Linked DNA regions of Schizosaccharomyces pombe. Each later gene encodes a partner of the first gene's protein in a complex. Each region holds a gene or a part of one and is shown on either strand. Other genes may lie near its edges. The genes, in order: spb70 and spp1.

The links.
Region 2: spb70 (region 1) and spp1 share a complex: the UniProt entries of both Schizosaccharomyces pombe proteins name them as parts of the alpha DNA polymerase complex.

What each region holds. Positions count from the first base shown.
Region 1 is NC_003421.2:285,213-295,867, forward strand, and holds spb70 (DNA polymerase alpha B-subunit), read left to right. Parts: upstream 1-2,016; 5' UTR 2,017-2,427; coding exon 2,428-2,693; exon of another isoform or gene 2,694-2,734; coding exon 2,735-3,713; exon of another isoform or gene 3,714-3,755; coding exon 3,756-4,064; exon of another isoform or gene 4,065-4,103; coding exon 4,104-4,274; 3' UTR 4,275-4,492; downstream 4,493-10,655. Other genes in the region: GTPase Ria1, read left to right, coding at 4,700-4,795, 4,851-7,003, 7,049-7,802; kpa1 (DinB-like DNA repair polymerase kappa), read left to right, coding at 8,232-8,724, 8,764-9,203, 9,250-9,762, 9,809-10,006; oligosaccharyltransferase delta subunit Swp1, read right to left, coding at 10,270-10,655. UniProt on the Schizosaccharomyces pombe protein: Accessory subunit of the DNA polymerase alpha complex (also known as the alpha DNA polymerase-primase complex) which plays an essential role in the initiation of DNA synthesis.
Region 2 is NC_003424.3:2,425,241-2,435,276, reverse strand, and holds spp1 (DNA primase catalytic subunit Spp1), read left to right. Parts: upstream 1-4,641; 5' UTR 4,642-4,659; coding exon 4,660-4,733; intron 4,734-4,817; coding exon 4,818-6,108; 3' UTR 6,109-6,301; downstream 6,302-10,036. Other genes in the region: TOM complex subunit Tom70, read right to left, coding at 8-1,885; drc1 (DNA replication preinitiation complex assembly protein), read right to left, coding at 3,170-3,420, 3,461-4,093, 4,150-4,279; tRNA m(1)G methyltransferase Trm10, read right to left, coding at 6,343-7,257; ribosome assembly protein Rsa3, read left to right, coding at 7,502-7,744; epr1 (ATPase co-chaperone protein), read right to left, coding at 7,810-8,863, 8,998-9,086. UniProt on the Schizosaccharomyces pombe protein: Catalytic subunit of the DNA primase complex and component of the DNA polymerase alpha complex (also known as the alpha DNA polymerase-primase complex - primosome/replisome) which play an essential role in the initiation of DNA synthesis.

The DNA.
Region 1 (10,655 bases):
AAAAAAAACTTTATATATGCTGTACTAATGCTTCTTTTAAATTTTTTCAAAGCGACCATTTGCCGTGTATATCAGCACATTCAAGGTTTTCCACGCACTATCTCCTTTAGCTTTGACTAGGCGATAGCATTCGTCATATTGCGCTAGAAGGATACTCGCTCGACACGAGGTAGCTGATGTCATTTGAAAGTCATTAAACGATCGCCATTGGCGGGAACCAGTTGCGCGGAGCATGCGGGAAACCAAGGTGATTACGAAGGATGCTAAAGAGCGTAGGGATTAGGCATCGCTATTTAGTATAAAGTAAATTAATGGGTTTCACTAATACAGACAGTGATCTCGGTAGATTTGAACGTTACGTGTGTGTAAAAATGTAATATCGATCTTTGTGGTAAGCTCGCAATATTTTTTAGTGTATAGCATTCCTTGAAAATTAAGATGGATTAACTATACAAGCAGCAATTGCTTTTGAGGTATACAATCAAAAGGCCATCATCCTACCCATTTTATATGAAAGCAAATGAATAGACTGCTGACGGGGCAACACTTAAAGAGTAAAGAATAAATACAATACGTAGGGCTTGCCTATCAAGTATAGATGGTGTAATCCTTTTTTTCTTTTTCGCTTTTTGTTTTTTAGTACTTTTTCACACCTTTATTGAAACATATCTTTATTTTTTTTGATAATCATACTCTATATTTTGTTGCTTTATTTTTAGTGTCTTTTCTTCTAAGCTCTCTTTAGTAGATAAAATATCACCGATTAAAATGATTACAAAAAGTTGGGCTTTTCATTCTCTATATATACATCTGCTATATACGTATTGAGTTTGCTACCAATTCTTAATAGCCAGCCCTCTATTACCACGAAACATCTGATTCAGAAAGTCAAAATCACTTTCTTCCGTGATTAATTGTTTATCTTGCTGCTTCCGCTAAACTGTTACTTTGCAAACCTGACATTCCATAGTATCGGAAAGTTTCTAAAGCTTTTGTAAACAAGACGGTCGTTCAGCCCAGGCTTATTGCTGACGATGTTAGTTGTATTATTAAATAATTTCTTTGATGAAAAAAGAAAAACTCAAACACCATGGGAAACATTTAGTAGTGTATGAGAAGATTTGTTCTTTCACATAGCTTAATGTTCCAGTATATATTTATTGAGTTGAAAACGAAATAATTTTTAACTTAGATATTGTTTTTTTTTTTTAAATTATTGTTTGGCTTCTTATTTTTTTTATTGCATTTTATTTTATTTTGGGTTACTTTTTTTTTTTTTTAAGTTGAAAATTAAACAAATTAGCCAAAAAAAAAAGAAATCGAATATGCTGAATTGAGCTATAGGGTTGGATCCTATTAATTAGCAAAAATTCCTATAGTTTAAAAAAAAAAAAAAAAAAAAACAACGAAAAAAAAAGAGAAAAAAAGAGAAAAAATATAAAACATATTTCTACTTCACTTTGTACAATCCATATTGTCTAGTCAAGTAGTTGCAAGCCTGTTCTGTATAGCGAATGTCAACTACGCAGTTTATAATATTTAACGATACTTAGGATTGCAGTGAGTTTTCCTCGTGATCAATTATATTGCAATAAACAGGTATTTTAAGTAGCAGCTGGGTATATGTATTCTGTTATGTAGGTCTATTGTTAGTTATCACTAATGTAGCTTATAACCGAACTGAGGAACGAAGTTCAGTTGATTTCAGTTTATAGTATTTGAAAAAGTCTTTAATTGTAACTGATATTTATATTATCATAAAAGGTACTGTAGCTGTCTTTTTAACCTACCATGTAAAGTAGATAGAGCAAATAGAACATTACAACATGTGACATATAGTGATACTCGGACACATTGTAACATAGCTTAGTTTCAGCTGACAAAACAAAAAAAATACATACTACACTATTTATCAGTAAACTAATATTACATAGTAAAAGCATCTCGTTAAATGTTTAAGGAGGTTTAAAAAACACATTAAACCACATACTACTGCGTTTCTCCACAGTATCCACGGAGCGTCCCAGTATATCCGAGTTTTTATTAGAAGAGCGATTTAAGTAGTTGCTTTAAGAAGATACACTCTCCTATCCTAAAAAGGTTTACTCATAATTATTGGTGGGTACCTCTTTAAGTGGTTGAACTTTCTGCTATACGTCGTTTTTTCTATCTGTTGTTAGGTTGGAATCGCGTAAACAAATTAAAAAAAGCAACTTCGAAAATCTATCACTGGGCACTTTTGGACTGGGATTGCTAGTACGTGTACTTGTATTTTTTATTCTTATTTATTTCTTTTTCAGGACCCACATCACAGTACAAAATTAGTCACTTCAAATTAATTTGCTCGTAATATTCCCAGGTATTCATTTACTGTCTTTTTTTTTGGGTATCTTGTTTCATTTTCAACTTCATTCAATCTTCAAAAAAATGGAATTTCCTATCGATGATGAGGAATTGCTAGATGAGCGAAATAAACTTCTCCAAATTTGCAATATGGACGAGCAAACAATGTTCTACAAGTGGGAGTCCTGGTGTTTGCAACGAGGAAATACACCAAAACTCGACCTTGACACATTCAAGGCCTTTGCTAAAGACATGAAATTTCAAATGGAGAGGCAGGTAAAAGCCACACTTAAACAGAATCCTGAAAGAAAATCGATAAAGCAAATCCCGGGAATGAATATTGATAGCATGTGCGTACATTAGCAAATGGTTTTAACTAACAAATATCTAGACTAGGTCTACCAGTGAAGACCACCGCATCAGGCGACTCGTTGATGCAAGAGTCTAAACCATCTACCGAAACTTTCGAATTGAATTCCAGTGACGCTGGAAGGGTTTTGGAAGTTTTAAATAAAGAATTAAAAATTGTAACTTCAAAACCTTCAGCTCCATCCAAGCTGGTTATCGTAGCGAATTTTGATCTCAAGGCATTTAATTACAGGATCATGTATCAAAAGCTTTATGATTCTTCTGAAGTTCTGGATGATCGCATTGAGCTTTTTAGTGCATTAACTTGCAGAAAATACAACATAAGTGATGAAGATTTGGCAAATCCTAGCGAACTTACTCAAGAACCCGTTGTAGTTGTAGGACGAATTGTTGTCGAAAGTACCAATTTAGGTGGAAGACTCAACCAAAATAGCATTTTACTTGAAAGTTCAAGACGTCTAGGCGCTGGTGTTCGAGTTCGTTTGAAGGTGGATGATCTACCAAGTTACTCAATATTTCCTGGTCAAATTGTTTCAGTTAAAGGATCCAATCCTAGCGGTAACATGTTTATCGCCAAGGAAATCCTTCCTATACCTCCTTTGCCGTTCCCAAGTTCATCTAAACAGGAGCACGCTACCTTTGTTGCTAATACAAATAATCAGCCAATTTCTATATATATTGCATCTGGACCTTGGTCTCTCCGTGATGATCTCTCTTTTTCCCCTTTAAAATCAATGATTTCATATGTAAATAAAAATCCTGTTGACTTGGTTATTCTATGTGGTCCATTCTTGGATATTAATCATATACTAATACGTACCGGAAACATTACAGGAACGTCTGCGACTTCTTTGGAAGAGTTGTTTAAAGAGCGTGTCACACCCATATTAAGCCAGCTAACTTGTCCTTGTATTTTAATTCCTCACATCAATGATGCTGCTTCAGATCATCCTGCATGGCCACAGGATGCATTTAATCGGGTGGCCTTAGGTCTTCCATCTGTATGTTAAGTTGTATAATAATTTTTATTGACCAATCCATAGAACTTCAAATGCTTCCCGAATCCTTGCATGTTTTCCATTAATGATGTCGTCTTTGGTGTGTCAACCAACGATATACTCCTTCACACATCTAGAGAAGAGTTATTTCGTCTACCTTCTCATGGTAACTTATTTGCACGTTTGGTTTCTCACGTACTTCACCAAAGGCATTTTTATCCCTTATTCCCTGGAGGTTCTCTTGAAAAGTGCAACCCTTCAAACTTAGATATCGCACATCTTAAACTTGGTGAATTCCTAAATACTATGCCGGACATACTAATTTTACCAAGTGATTTACGTTATTTCGTAAAGGTATGTTAATTTTCTACTTTGTTTTAACTAATGTTATAGAACGTTGAAAACGTTGTATCATTGAATCCTGGTAAAGCGACCAAAGGGATTAATTTGGGCACTTTTGCAAAATTAACTATCGCGCCATTAGAGCTCGGGGATAATGGTTCTTCTAATCATTATTCACATCGTGTATGGCTTCGAACCAAGGCAGAAATTTTAAAACTATGATAATTATACTCTCTTTTTCTGCGGAATTTATTGAAAATATAAAAAATTCAGCGTTAAATATCATTGGTTATCATTATTTATGTAGATGTCTACCATAGACCGTTAGAATTAATTAACTTTTCAGCTTTCATTTTCTATCTATCGCTATTTTGGTTTTCTTCAAATTTTGTTTGCAAAATTACTCATATGTTTATGTTGTTAATTTAACCATTTTCCTCAAATGTCTAAGACAATCTCTGATATATCTCAAATCGCTACTCGCGAACTTTTAGTCGTTGTTTTATAGTTGAATGAGTATTCCTTTTATACTGTAGTATTTGAATGTTCAACATTTTTTCGATTTGGACTCTAGTCTTGGTGTTTCACATCTCAACCTACTTAGTCACTACAGTTGACCTCCAACATACATAGGGGAAGTAGTGCAAATGCCTGTTATTCCTCCAGAAAAGCTTGTGTCCTTACAAAAAAATCAGGAAAATATTCGTAATTTTACATTACTTGCTCATGTAGATCATGGAAAGGTATGAATTTTGCAATTTTAAACTTTTTTGAATAGTTGCTAATGATTAATTAAAGACAACCCTTGCAGACAGTTTACTAGCTTCGAATGGAATCATATCTAGCAAACTTGCTGGTACTGTTCGTTTTCTTGATTTTCGCGAAGATGAAATTACGAGAGGTATTACTATGAAGTCTAGCGCCATTTCATTGTTTTTTAAAGTTATAAGCCAAAATGATGAAAAAAGAGTTGAAAAAGATTACCTGATTAATCTTATCGATTCTCCTGGTCATGTTGATTTCAGTTCTGAAGTATCTTCGGCCTCAAGGCTTTGCGATGGTGCATTTGTTTTAGTAGACGCAGTTGAGGGTGTTTGTAGTCAAACAATTACTGTCCTTAGACAAGCATGGATAGACCGTATAAAGGTGATTTTAGTCATTAACAAAATGGATCGTTTGATTACTGAACTGAAACTGTCTCCTATTGAAGCTCATTATCATTTGCTTCGACTTGTTGAACAAGTAAATGCTGTCATTGGCACCTTTTATACTGGTGAGCTTATGCAATTAGCTGATAACGACGAAGTCATCAGTGATGAAGGTATATATTTCGCACCTGAACAGGGAAACGTTGTGTTTGCTAGTGCATACGATGGCTGGGCATTTTGTTTGGACCAATTTTCAGAATTTTACGAAAAAAAGCTTGGATTAAAACAAAAAGCACTTACAAAATGTCTCTGGGGTGATTATTATCTAGACCCTAAAACTAAAAGAGTTCTTCAGCCCAAACATCTTCAAGGCCGACGGTTAAAACCAATGTTTGTACAATTTGTTCTCGAAAACCTCTGGGCTGTTTATGAATCAGCTGTGAGCAATAGGAACCTTGAAAACATTGAGAAAATCATTAAGGCATTAAACATTAAAGTTCTTCCCCGTGACATCAAATCCAAAGACCCTAGAAATTTGCTACTTGCGATTTTTCAACAGTGGTTGCCACTATCAACTGCAATTTTGTTAACAGCGATTAGGGAAATTCCTTCTCCTATTAACGCCCAAGCGAATCGAGCTAGGAAAGTTTTGAGTTCAACTCCTCATTACGAAATGATAGATCCAGATATTACACTGGCTATGGAAAGTTGTGACGCTAGTAAGGAACAGCCTGTTTTGGTATACATAAGTAAAATGGTAGCTTTTTCTGAAAGAGATCTTCCTAATCATCGTCGCAAACAACTTAGTGCTGAGGAGATGAAATTGATACGTTCAAAATTATCTGAATCAATTGAGAGCGGCATAAATACCATTTCTATTGAGGAAAACGTTTCTTCTACCAACTCTGACAATTTAGAAGGTAGCACAACTGACATGGACGATGATAAGGACATTTTAATTGGCTTTGCTAGGATATACAGTGGCACAATTTCAGTTGGACAGGAAGTATATGTTTATGGTCCAAAATATGATCCAGTCAATCCTGAAAAACATATTACCAAGGTAACGGTTGAGTCATTATATTTAATGATGGGACAGGAGCTAGTTTATTTAGAGACAGTTCCCGCTGGTAACGTTTTCGCAATCGGTGGCCTTGCCGGAACGGTTTTGAGAACAGCAACACTATGCTCATCTCCAAATGGTCCTAATTTAGTGGGCGTAACTCAGCAAATGGAGCCCATTGTGCGGGTCGCTTTAGAGCCTGTTCGTCCATTTGAGATGAACAAGTTAGTGACTGGCCTTGACATGCTTAATCAAGCCGATCCATGTGTTCAAATAGCCGTTGAAGAAAATGGAGAGCATGTAATTATGTGTGCCGGAGAGATTCATTTGGAAAGATGTTTAAAAGACCTTAGGGAACGGTTTGCAAAAATTGAAATACAAGCATCTCAGCCACTTGTGCCATATCGGGAAACTACCATAGCTACACCCGACTTATTAGCAAAAAATAAAGAACTGAGTATTGGCTTTGTCACTGCAACGTTACCAGTTGGCGGAGTTACGATTGGAATTACAGTAACACCTCTTTCTGGGTCTGTCGTAGATTTTCTGCTGAAGCACTCTAAAACAATTGAAAATGTTAGCAGCAATTTTTCAAAGAAAAATAGAAACGTTGTTGTCTCGGAATCTTTAACAAAAAGTATGGAGGAAGTGTTGACTCCTGAGAAGTTTTATGAAAGGCTTTCCAAGCTTTTAGAGGAAGAGAACTCTGACTTAGGCGAGCTGAAAAATCATTTGGATAGGTAGGTTATACTAGTGTTCTATTGGTTGATTACTAACAATACTAGTATCATTGCGTTTGGCCCCAAACGAGTGGGTCCTAATATACTTTTTGACAAAACCAAGAAGATGAGAGATTTTCGACGACAAAGCGATGAAACAAAATTAATACCCTCAGACCTTTCTGAATATGTAGTTACTGCATTTCAACTAATAACGCACCAGGGACCATTGTGTGCTGAACCCGTTCAAGGCATTTGTGTGTCAATCGATCAGTTTGACATATCTGATGACTCGGAAGATAGTAAGTTACTTACCATCAATAATCCCCAAATCCCCGGTCAAGTTATTTCGGTAGTGAAAGAGTCTATTAGACATGGATTTTTAGGTTGGTCACCGAGACTTATGCTAGCCATGTATTCTTGCGATGTTCAGGCCACATCTGAAGTCTTGGGTAGGGTATATGGTGTTGTTTCGAAGCGACGAGGACGAGTAATTGATGAAGAAATGAAGGAAGGGACTCCATTTTTTATTGTAAAAGCCTTGATTCCAGTTGTTGAATCCTTTGGATTCGCTGTAGAAATTTTGAAAAGGACATCTGGTGCTGCCTATCCTCAATTAATCTTCCATGGTTTTGAGATGCTAGACGAGAATCCCTTTTGGGTTCCAACTACTGAGGAGGAATTGGAAGATTTAGGCGAGTTAGCCGATCGCGAAAATATTGCTAAGCGCTATATGCTGAACGTTCGAAAAAGGAAAGGCTTATTGGTAGAGCAAAAGATTGTTGAAAAGGCAGAGAAGCAGAGGACACTGAAGCATTAAAGATAGTACTTGATTCCAATTTCTTTAGGAAAACGAAAAGATTGTAATTTGATGACAATGACCTGGTTAGATGGAGGTAATGTTTTTTTTTTTTTTTTTGTTACATTGTTGAGGTAGCTGTGATTTTGAGTTAAGTGTTTCATGAACTATGGGACTAAGATTAGAAGTCTATAAGATGAATAGTGTAAAACGCACATGCAAGATTCTTTAGGCTTCTTTTTGTTATGTTTTAAATTGTTAATACAAATTCAAATTTCCAAAAAATACCGATGTTGTGGGATATGCATAATACAAATAATGATATACTCTACTGCGTAATCGCTAGAAGGTGATAGATTACAGACGCGACGCGCCAAAACACAAACACATCTTTGTACTAATTCAAATTCTAGTATTTTGAAAACTATTCGCCTTAATGTTTTTTGACGGATGGAAAATGCAAAAGATTTTATAGGAGAAACAATAAAGGAGAATGGATTACTTACCATTGAAGATGATGGTAGCAGTAGTTCAGATGAAGAAGCTACTTTAAAACGACGATTGGCAGGCCCTTCTGTTCTCAAGTCAGGACAGGAAAATGTTAATCAAAAAAAGATTAACGAGATAATTTACGAAGCTTCCAAAGGAAGTAAGTTTTTTGAAGCCGAACAAAAACGAGACCGAGAACTTCGTTTAAGAATAGAAAAGGTTCAAGTTGAGGTAGAAAAATACCAATCAAAATTAAGGTTTGATAAAGCGTTTCAAAGAGAGTGGACCATTAGACAAGAAAGTGTGGATACTACTGTTGAGGATTTTAGGGCTAAACGAGATTTGACCCAAATAATTGTTCATGTTGATTGTGATGCGTTTTATGCATCAATAGAGGAACTTAAGAATCCAAAACTTAAGTCTTTACCAATGGCAGTCGGGAAGAGTGTTTTGTGTAAGTATTCGAATCTGACTGAAACTAATGCTGAATAAGGTACTGCTAATTATGTGGCCAGAAAGTTTGGAGTTCGATCAGCGATGCCAGAATTTATTGCTAGAAAGATTTGTCCTGATCTAGTTGTAATTCCGTTAAATCTTTCTGAATATGCAATAAAATCTAAAGAAATTCAGAATGTGCTTGCTCAGTATGATTCGAATTTGTGTCCTGCAAGCATTGATGAATTTTATATGAACTTGACTTCACATTTACGTCTCCAAGAGCTTGCATTTACTGTAGAAAACATAACGATGGTGGTTGAGAAAATCAGGAAACAAGTGCATGAAGAAACAGGAGTTACAGTCAGTTGTGGTATTGCAGCAAACAAGTTGTTAGCCAAAATTGCAAGCAATAAGAGAAAACCAAATAATCAGTTTTTTATCCCATTTGACGAGATTGGGATTTCAAAATTCATGAATGACTTGCCTGTTAGAGAGGTAAGCAGTCTTTCTATATCTGGTTAAGCATTCTTTAACATTACAGGTTTCTGGTATTGGTAGAGTTTTAGAGCAGCAATTACTTGGTTTGGAAATTAAGACGTGTGGGGATATTCAAAGAAATTTGGTGATTTTATCTTATATCTTTTTACCTAAAAGTTTCCAAAACTTGTTGAGATGTAGCTATGGATTTGGAACTACAATTTTAGACGAATACGGTGAGAGCAAACGAAAAACAATTGGGTCTGAAGCTACATTTTCCAGCAATCTTAGTTCTCCGTCAATAATCGAGTACAAGCTCAGACTTCTTGTACAAAATGTATCTGAAAATTTACAAAAGCGCGGATTAGTCACAAACTCGATCGCTATAAAGTATAAAACAAGCGAATTTCAAGTTCATACCAAGCAAAAGAGCATAGGTCAATTCATTCATTCAGAATCTGATTTATTGAAACCAGCTTTGCAATTGTTGCGTCAATCTTACCCTATGACTATTCGTTTATTAGGAGTCAGAGCAACAAAGCTGGTTAGTAAATCGCGTTGTTTGGCCATGCAACTTGTAAGTCAAGCAAATATACTGCTAGCAATATGCTAATTATTACTAGAAATTCCAAAGCCAGAATACCGTTCCTTGTCCCGTTTGCCAGAAAAATATTGAAAACGAATTAGGTATACTGAACCAACATGTCGACCTTTGCTTAAATGTCGAAACAGTTAAATCCTTGATCAATACCGATCATACTGCAAATCCTACAATCAAAAAAAGAAAATCAAACACATTAGACACATATTTCTTGGAATAAAATTTATTAATCTTGACCTTAAAGCAACATTAAATAAGTTTTGGATTGCGAATCATTGCGCAACTAGCTTATGGTAAAAGTATTTGACAGTTTGTATAGACCAAGTAAAACTTTTAGAGAAAGAATGTCAAAGACAACTATTTTTAGATAAAGTAACCATGCTATTTTACAAAATAACATTGCGGTACTGAAAAATATTACATAAATGTCAACGTCAATTGTAAAGTCATCGTCAAACTCAAAGATTGTAAGGATAGGCCGATTTAAAGACTTTTAGCAGCGATTCCGCACATGATTGCGACGCCAGCAGCGTATGCGCCAAATTGGAAGATGGACAAAGAAGTCCAGTAAATAAACAACAGGATTTCTGCAACGGCCAAGGAGGCAAAGCCAAACGTTCTAGCAAATGAAGATGATGACACAGAGTAAACATTTGATTTTGGTAACAATTTCTGCCACACACCGAGCAAACCGATTAAACTAACCACTACCGAAACAGAAAAGCAAATACTTAGAAAATAATTTGCCCTTTTAGGAGGGGGAGAAAATGTATGAAGAATTACTTCTTTAGGACTTAATTCGTCCAAAGGAGAAAATTCCGCTTTATGGTACAAAGAAGGAGGCACATTAATGGAAAGTTGACCCAAAG
Region 2 (10,036 bases), on another chromosome or scaffold:
ATCTCGTTTACATAGGATTGCTTAAACGACCAACCAACTGTGGGTACTTTTCAGTCAAGGCAATTTGCGTACGAGTAGCCTCAGCATATGAAAACGCATTCACCATTTCACTTTCAGTACGAGCCAGTTGTGCAGATTTCTCGAAATATTCAAGGGCTTCACGAGCTTTACCTTGTTGCAATAGGAATTGAGCCATACTGGCAATTGCAATATCACATTCGGGATCAGCCGATAGAGCCTGTCGACAAAGATTTTCAGCTTGAGATATATCTTTCTTCCATTGGAATACAGCAAGAGCCTTATTAATCAAAGGCATTGCACTCATAATTGTTAGATGTTCTCTCTTCTCAAGCTCAATTGCATGATCAAAGTTCTTGACAGCATCATCGAACTTTTGTTGATCTAAGAGTATTTCACCAAAGTAATTATAAACTTCGCTTGAATTAGGGAACCTCTTTTTACAATCTTCAAATGTCTTCATTGATTCCGCAATTGCATGAGTCTTATATTGAGCTACTCCAAGTTGGATATGGCTATAAATAAAAGAGTCATCCAATGCAATAGACTTTTGATAATCAGAAATGGCTTCTGCAAACTCACCAGAAACAAACCTAACTTGTGCACGATGATAATAAAGATCCGAATCGGTTTTATCAACAGATTCTGCATCATTCAGTACCTTCCACATTTTTTCATTATCATTTTCATCTAAATAAGCGGCTGAGAGACGAATATATGGTTGAATGAACTTGCGATCTAATTTAATAGCTGCATTAAAATTTTCCATCGAACCTTTAGAGTCACCAGATACAAATTTAAAAGTACCAACTAGATTATGAGTGCGAGCATTAACCGAAGGAGATGAGAAAGATCCCAGACAGGATTCCTTTGCTTTATCGTACGAAAGTTGATATTCACCCTTTTCTAAATATTCATAAGCCTCTGCTAAAGCAGCATCACCGTCAAATTTATTATCAAACAAAGGTTTTGGTTGAGCATGGAATGAATCGAGATAAGTCTGGATAAAGCTGGCAGCTGGCAATTTAGGAGGACGTTCCTTTAAAAGAGCAGACGACTTCTTTTCAGCAACCTTTTTTAACAATCGTTCAACGGTAGCAGTCATACTCTCATTAGCGAAGCCATCGAAAATGCAGGAAACGGTACTATCCATAAGGGCTTCATCCAATTTACCAAGTTGCTCATAAGCAGCAGAACGACGATTTAACGCTTTCACATAGCTTGAATCAAGTGAAAGAGCTTCACTTGTATCCTTAATTACTTGCTCAAAATCACCGATGGCTGCATAACAGGCTGCACGATTAGAGAAGAAAATAGGGTCATGAGAGCAGGTGATAGCCTGAGTATAATAGTCAATAGCATTAGCATATTCCTTTTGTCCATAAGCCTTATTACCAAGAGTCTTTAACTCGGCAGCCAATTTTGCCCTTTCCTCCTTCGTCATAGATTTTACCGATTCCTCAGTAGCAATTTTATCGACAGAAGAATCGCCGACCTTCTTGGCTTTAACCTTTTTTTTATTCTTCTTCTTCTTTTTTGCAGCAGCAGCAGCAGCGGCTGCTGTTTCAACATCCTTTCCAGTTTCTGAGCTTTTAAGATCCTCTTCTTTTACGACCTTTGCAGCTTCATTTTTTCCTTCATTAACTTTGGATTCAGCCTTATCTTGATGAGCCTTAAGTTTTTTAGAACGTTTATGACTAGCTTTTTTCTGTTGTACATGATAAACACCCCCAACTGTAGCAAAAACGGCAACAGCACCAATAGTGTAAACAAATGTCCTATGGCGCCTTACAAATGCTGAAACGGAATTTAAAACTCCAGAAGACACAATTGCCTTACCATTTTCTGCATTGGATATACCAGACATGGTATTGGTTTTGGCTAGGTTGGTACCGATTCATGACCACTATACTTCAGCAAAGTGAATGCTACCTTATTGCATTGCTAACGAACTGCAAAGCACATTCATTGACAAAGGTTAAGGAACTAAAACTTGATTACGAAGTGATAGAAAACAAAAAAAGAAACGGTGAACAGCAGTTTAATAGGAGCTATTATTATGAAATGGTGATAATTTGCACAGGTGCTAGTTTTATTAATTCTACTCAATTCCGCATCAAGTAGGAATTTAAAAAAAACTGCTCCAGCAGTGACTTGAACACTGGGCCTCTTGCTTACTAGGCAAGCGCTCTACCACTGAGCTACAAGAGCTGATGTTATCCCCGTATAAAATACAATATATAGAGAGCGTAGTAAAGAAGTTTACCTTAAACAATGAAACGTATTGACTGTATTTGTTAATTACACAATGCACTTCTTTTGGATTCTGATTATCTAGAGCCCTTTTATTTGTCTTTAAAAAGATTTGTTAACTTGATTGTAGGTTGAACTATGTTTTGAATACAATTGAAGAGTTGCGACCAAAATCTATTACAGTTGTTGCCTGTATCTTATAAGCTATCTATTATTTAAAGCATGGTTTCTTAAGTTGTAAATGACATTTGGAAATGACTATTCATGTTTTGAAGTTTAGCATCAACGTATGGTGTTTAGGTTGTCTAAAAATTTAGTTAAGAGGAAATTTGGCATCGCTGTCCCCTAAGGATGAATAAGCTATGCAAATCCATGTAAAGTAATGATGATATTCAGCTTTCATGTATTCCTCATTTCAATAGATCCAAACTTATTTGAAGCTGTTTTTTTATTTGTCTTTCTCGCCAGCTTCAATATTGAAGGTTCGATTTTTTTTGTACTTCTTCTTTCCTTACGTCCTCATGATATTCGTATATCAAAACGTTCCAGTCTTAGATTTAATGTTGGACGAATGCCTACGTAAAAATATAAAACGTTTATCGTTCGATAGTAACTAATTTGATTTTACCCGAAGATTAAGAACAAGAAATATATGATTCATTCAAACTTTTATATTTCCAAAATTTTTTTAACAGGATACCACAAACTCATGATGTATTATTTCATTTAAATCTCAAAAACCCACAAAATCTATTTCCAGGTTTTATTGAATGCATGATTTATTAAATATATATACCTCTTTAACATTCATTGAAAAAGTGTATATCCTATTAAGGAAGATCAGAAAGTATGTGTTTTTTTAAATACAACAGCAAAGTTCCGATTGACAAATTATATGTTAGCTTCTGTGACGCCGAAATTTACGTTTTTTTAATTTGTAAGAGGAATAATTCTGGCTTACTTGTTTTCCAATAACAAGCCCGTTTCTCATAATCTTTTTATTTTGTCGTTCACTCTGCAGATCTAAAAATGGTGACGAATCTTTGCTAGCAGTTGTATCTTCATTGTCGTCAATGCCATTTTCCGCATCTTCGTCTATTTCAGGAAGACCTTCTAAATGACTTTTGGAAAGATTCATTGAAGGGGGCACTAAAACGTTAGTTCAGGTACAAACAGGAGAAAACCTTACATTTAACAAGACGATTTTGTCGTTTAATTTTTTTCTTCATAGGTTGTGATATGTCTCTATCTACAAGGCTTTCTGAAGATGAGCTACTAAAGCTTTCAAACTCCTGCAATATCTTCTCTTCATTTGATCCGTAATCATCTTCAATATCTTTTAACTCACGAAGCATTTCACTGAGACTTTTTCGGCATGGCGCATTAACTCGAAGTAAGTTAGGAGATGTATAAACTTGAAGGCGATATGAAGAGGGGGTTTCAAGAACGGTGGGAGTATGTTGAGCCACAGGTTCGGGATTTTTTGATGGAGTAGTCGGTATCATAGTTGATGAAATTTCACTAGTGTTATGTTTTATATCCGAAATTTGATCCACATGAGAATCTGCAATGGGAGACATGTCTTCAAGAAGGTTAAGTACTCGACGTGACAACTGTGGAGTAGGACCTAAAAGACTTTTATCCACAGTTTTCGGAGTAACCTGTAGATAATCATTTCGGGGCGCTTTAGGACTCTCGTTCGCTTCAGTTTCAGCACGCTGTTTTGTAGGAGTTTGAAACTTAAAGTCGACCTTTGTTTTTGCTTTTTTAGGGGTAATGGAGGATTCGCGTTTCAACTCGTAGTATTGCTTATATAAAAGCGCTAAAAAAGTTCGTTAGTTTGCTTCAAAAATTCAAGTGTATCTTTGGCTTACATACCTATTTCTGGTTGTTTCTTCACATCCTCCTTAGAAGGTTTGCAATTGTTCGTATGGACGTACTCATGTTCCCACTTCTTTAAGAGCGCTTTTATACTAGATATTTGTTTAGTTCGTGATTCATCGTGCATGATTTGCCAATTAATGCACTGCCTGGACCCAATTTCAATTTTGTAGTGTTCGATTCAAACAACTGCAAAAACAAACTCAAAACAAAAAGAGAGGCTAATCTACATAAACATATATTTCTTCTAATTCTATATGTGGAGAAATACCATTGCACAGAGTTTGATACGTATCTCGAAATGCAAAGTTGAAATGTTAATTATGCTTTAAAAGTAAAGTAGATGCACTAATGAATGCTCCATTTTACTGCTGAATGTTTACGCATACGTTAAGCAGTTTTTTAAATTTAAATAACGTATAACGTTTAAGTACGCTGTCGTTTCCTTTTGATTTATGGTTGAGCTGTATGTAAATAACCTTTGTTTTTAGCTAAACTTATTACAATATGACTGTTCAAATCGATGAATTGGACGACAAAGATTTGGATGAGATAATTGCAAACGGAACACTTGATGGCGCGTAAGTGTGAATACTGAACAATCTTAACTATGGACTCGATTGAGCCTCTAAAATAATGAAAATTCTCTAACAATTTTCTTATAGTAAACAGGGAGCTGTGGATTCAGAGACGATGATTCAATATTATCGCCATCTTTTTCCGTGGAAATATTTATTTCAATGGTTAAATCATGGTCCGGTAGTCACTAATGATTTTGCTCATCGGGAGTTCGCGTTCACACTTCCTAATGATGCTTATATTCGTTATTTATCTTTTTCAAATTGGGAAGAGTTAAAAAAGGAAGCTTTAAATTTATGCCCAAGCCGATTTGAAGTTGGACCCGTTTATAGTGCCAATCCCAGGGACAGGAAAACAATAAGGAAGTCAACATTTCATCCGCTTAAAAAGGAACTCGTTTTTGATATAGATATGACTGACTACGATGATGTACGAACCTGCTGCTCAAAAACAAATATATGCGAAAAATGCTGGCCATTTATTACGATCGCAGTTCAAGTTTTAGATATTTGTTTTCATGAGGACTTTGGATTTAAACACATATTGTGGGTATACTCTGGTCGAAGAGGTATTCACGCTTGGATTTGTGACGAAATTGCTTGTTCTTTAGACGATCGGTCTCGTAGAATGATTGCCAGTTATTTACAGGTTGTAGTAGGTAATCCTCAAGGTGGCGTACGACTTATTAATAACTTAAAAAGACCCCTTCACCCACATTTGACTCGTTCTCTCAACATTCTCAAATCGGCCTTTGTAAAAATTGTCCTTGAAGACCAAGATCCGTGGGCTTCTAAAGAAGGAGCCGAAAACCTTTTGAAATTACTACCAGACAAGGATTTAGCATCTGCTCTTCGTAAAAAATGGGAGGTTGATCCTGAACGATCTAGCAAAAATAAATGGTCCGACATTGACACTGTCTTAGCATCTGGTTCTATTGCCTCTATATCTCCTTCAGTAATTGCGATTGCCAAGCAGGACATTGTTTTAACCTATTTGTATCCAAGATTGGATGTTGAGGTTTCTAGACATTTAAACCATTTGCTAAAATCTCCATTTTGCGTCCACCCCGGAACTAGTCGTGTTTGTGTTCCCATAGATATAGAGAGGATGGATTCTTTTAATCCTTTGAAAGTACCCACTGTGAATGATCTTTTGCAAGAGTTGGATAAAAATTCCCAAAATGATAACGGCCATGGTCCAACAATGGAAACTAATACAACAGAAAACCAAAAAGATAATGCTAGGGGACAATCAAACAAGGGGCATGGCTTTTCAACTTCTCTCAATCCTTATACGCTGTACTTTAAATCGTTCAGTAGCCAGCTTTTTAAAGAAACAGTAGGAAATAAAAGAAAACATGAGAATTTGGAATTTTAAAATCGTATTTCAACAATCGATTCAAGCTTTAACTAAAAATTTGGGCATACATTTACTCATGAAAGGATGGAAGCTCTGACTTCTATTTACGTGGAGCATATTGTTTTCCGTTAAATCGACAGTAATAATATATTTTTTAATACCTCTTTATTTATCCTTTTTTGCTAAATACATTATAATAATAAAAACCAAAACAAATCAAAAGCATAACTAGTATGATTTTAAACTAGCGATTTAATTTTCTTTTTCCAATTCACTATCAGATTGATTTGACTGAGACCTAGTATCCTCAGAAACATCAAACGATTCGTCGCTTTTAAGCAAAATTCCCTTTCTTTTTGGAATGACCTCCATGAATGCCTTTTCCCAATCTCTGTACTCTAACCAAAGAGATAATATTTCAAAGACCTGATTAACCGTAAGTATTTTCCTATCCGTAATTTTAATGTATTCATCAATTGGAAGCTTTGCAGTTTTGATCCCTTGCTCAGACGCTTTATTTTGACATAAATTTTTGTACCGATTCTTGTCGACAATCGCACCAATAATATAAATCTTGTCTTCATCGAGTTCGGTGATGGTGTTATCTGAATCAGCAGAAAGATATACTAATTTTTCTTTTTGGGATTCAAATTCCTCTAAATAAGACTTAGTAGTTGGGTTGTATCGTTTCCAATTATTTTGTTGCCCCTTTAGCACAAAATCTTGTCTGGTTTTCAAACGTCCACCAAAGTTGGTAGCAAAAAGTTCTACAGGATGTAAAGCTGTACGATTTGCAGAATGACATCTAGTAACCTGTTGACATAAAGAGTTGATTTCTTTATCGTTCATCAGATCATCAAATGCACAATCCAAAACAATTCGGATACTACTAGGAACGACCTTTCCTAGTCTGATCCTCTTCTTTTGACTTTTAACTACTTCGCCAGCTTCAATTTTTCGCTTTCTTTCCTCTTTTCGTAATCGCTTTTTTTCCCGGCGCATCTCTGCTCGCTTTTCACGACCTGCATCCCACTCTTGCTGTCTTTTTAATCTTTTTAATGCAGATTTGCTAAGAACGGGTTGCTCTTGAGTTTCATTTTTAGAAACGTCAGCTTCAGAAGTATTTGTGTCATCTTTACCAATATCTAAAGCGTCTTTGTTTTCCATAATTTCCCAACTTTATTGCAGTCAAAATATAGCCTAAATTTATCTAGTTATATCGTTATTTTGAACCTAGCCAGGCTGTTCATCTAATGGAAAAAGTAAGAGTGTTGTGAAGTATAAAAAGTTGGTAACTACGCCAATCTCGCAATTATTAACTTTGGGTAATAAAGGGATTCAGGAAGTCGAAAATAAAAAAATTTTGCAAAATTGTATTATTTACAAACTTCGACAAAACAAGCTTTGAAAAATGGCAACAAACGATCAAAAAATCGATAACAAATCGACGGTATCAAATATGCTTGAAAATCCTATGTTTCAGACATTTTCAAAAAAAGAAACAGAAAAGCCATCACTATCTGAATATATGGAACAACTTACTTCAGAGTTTGGAGAAGAGCTAGACAATTTAAGGCAAAAGGAAATTTTTGATCATAACAAACTACAATTGCTTATTGAAAGTTTGCGTGCTGGTCACAAAATTTATGAATAATGGTTTATATAACTTAGCAAAAAACAGACCTGTATTATTCTATTAAAAAAGATAAGCTTGCGGTGCTAATCTTGATCCAACTTATCGTCTTCGTTCAAAAAACCATCTTCGGATGCTGTATAAAACTCGTTATCAGAGATTTCGACAAAAGTAAATGTTTTTTCTATTTCCTCAAAACTTCTCGTATAGAAGTCAGAGGAAGAAACTTTGTTCGAATATGGGGATTCGCTAGGAGCATCTTCGGGTTGTTTATTCGATTCCGCGTTTTTCTGGGCTTCTTTTGCGTGCTTTTTTATTTCTTGGTTCATTTTCCTTAAATTTTTTTTATGTTTTTTGCTGTTTTCATGGTTCTCCAATTGATTTTGTGATCGAAAGTTCTTGTTACAAACCATACACATTATTGGATTTGAATTCACAATTTCTTTGCTCAAAGATTCATCATCGCTGGATGTTTCTTCCTGATCGATTATTGTCCAAGACGCAATTGATTGGTTTTTAAAAGTTTCCTGGTACTGACGCCGATCACGTTCACTTTGCTTTCGCGATGCTTCTTGTAGGGAGTTGTATCTTTCTCCATCGCTTAGTTTCACAACGTTTTTTCTCCGTGGATCAAGATCACATGCTTTTCCTATTAAATCTCTGACAAGTTCGTTATATCGCTGAATGCAGTATTGTATCTGCCTTTGATTTTGTCTCTTCATTAATCGCCGTGTAGCTGCATCACTTTCCTCTTCTTCATTATATAGAGCTTCCCATTCAAAAGATTTTTTCGTTGAAAATCTTAGCCATTTTTGATAAATAGGTTTGGCATACGTCCAAAGCCAAGTTGTGTCCCCTAAAGTTGGAAGGTCGTCTGTGGAACCCGCTATTTTTTCGTCTTGTCGCAGTCTTTCAACGAACGCTGAGGTGCTTTCAAAAGGGATTTTCTCAATTGTTTGTAGATGCTGCAAAACGTCTTCAATTTGTACAGAATATTGGTTTCTTAGATAGTCTTTTTCATGCCATTTTCGTTTATCATCATTAGAGAGAATATTGTATGCAGCGTTTATTTGGGAAAATATTTCGTTATAGTCTTCAATGCCCGGATTTCTATCGGGATGATATTGCAAAGCTAATTTTCTGTTATGATTAGTAAAGATACACAAAGGCGATCAATTCTTCACAACTTAAACGATTATGTTTTAATCACAGATCGAAAAGCTGTAAATTTATATTCTATGTTGATTGATTAAGTTGAAAACAAGTTTTCATACCGGTAATTTGCTTTAATCTCTTGCAAGTCAGAGTCATGATTCACTTGCAAGATTTCATAGCAATCCATATCCTTAAAAGGGTTATTCATGATTGGTGATAAATAATTTGCATAAAATCATAAGTTAACCAGTAAAAGACTTATATAAAGTAGCTTCAAAGACAAAATTCCAAGGCCGAGGAGTGGAATGAATTATCAACCGCAATTGAGATTGCTTGTGATAAACTAACAATTCAATTCTACAATTGAAATACAAAAAAAGCAAAAAAATTGAGAGTTGCCCGTTCAATCGCCAAAATACAATACCTTCAGTACGTTCTATGTAAAATGGTGATCTTTCTCACAAACCGGCGACAATAGCTCCCAACTGTGTTTCAAAAAATGTAGAAAGAGACAAAAAGGCGAATTGACGAGAAACAACGAATCAAAATACTGTTAATGCTAAAAAATAAAGTAATATGCTATGGGTAAATTAAATCTGTGTTGACAAACCCGCAAATACATAATATGGTGTGGTCCCTCACGTCTCGCCAATGCTGAAGTAAATAAATACAACAAGCGAAACATAAGTTAAAGTTGTGTACGAAATCATTTGAACCCTAAATAAATTTGTGTTCTATACATGCAAACTTTAGACAGTTTGAAATCCGAAAAATCACTTTTGTAAAAAATGAATATATGAATAAATATATATATTAACATATATTGATATATGTATAATCTTAATACAGTTTACAAACTACTGTCTTCTTAATTAAGAAAACATGGTTCTCATGAAAACTTATATTGTTATTTAAGGTCTTGCTGCTATATATGCATTAGCAAAATGCACATTTCCAAAAAATGAAGTTAAAATTATCAGTTTACAAAAGACATTGAACTAAAGATCAAATTTTTCCACAACCGAATTAAAATGTAAGATTGTGTTTTTTAGAAGAAGCCAATGCGCTAATAATAATGCCATGCTTGCATTGCTTAAAAACAAACGAACTTCTTGCCTTCATGTAGCAAGGCTATTATCACGAATTTTCATGTTAATT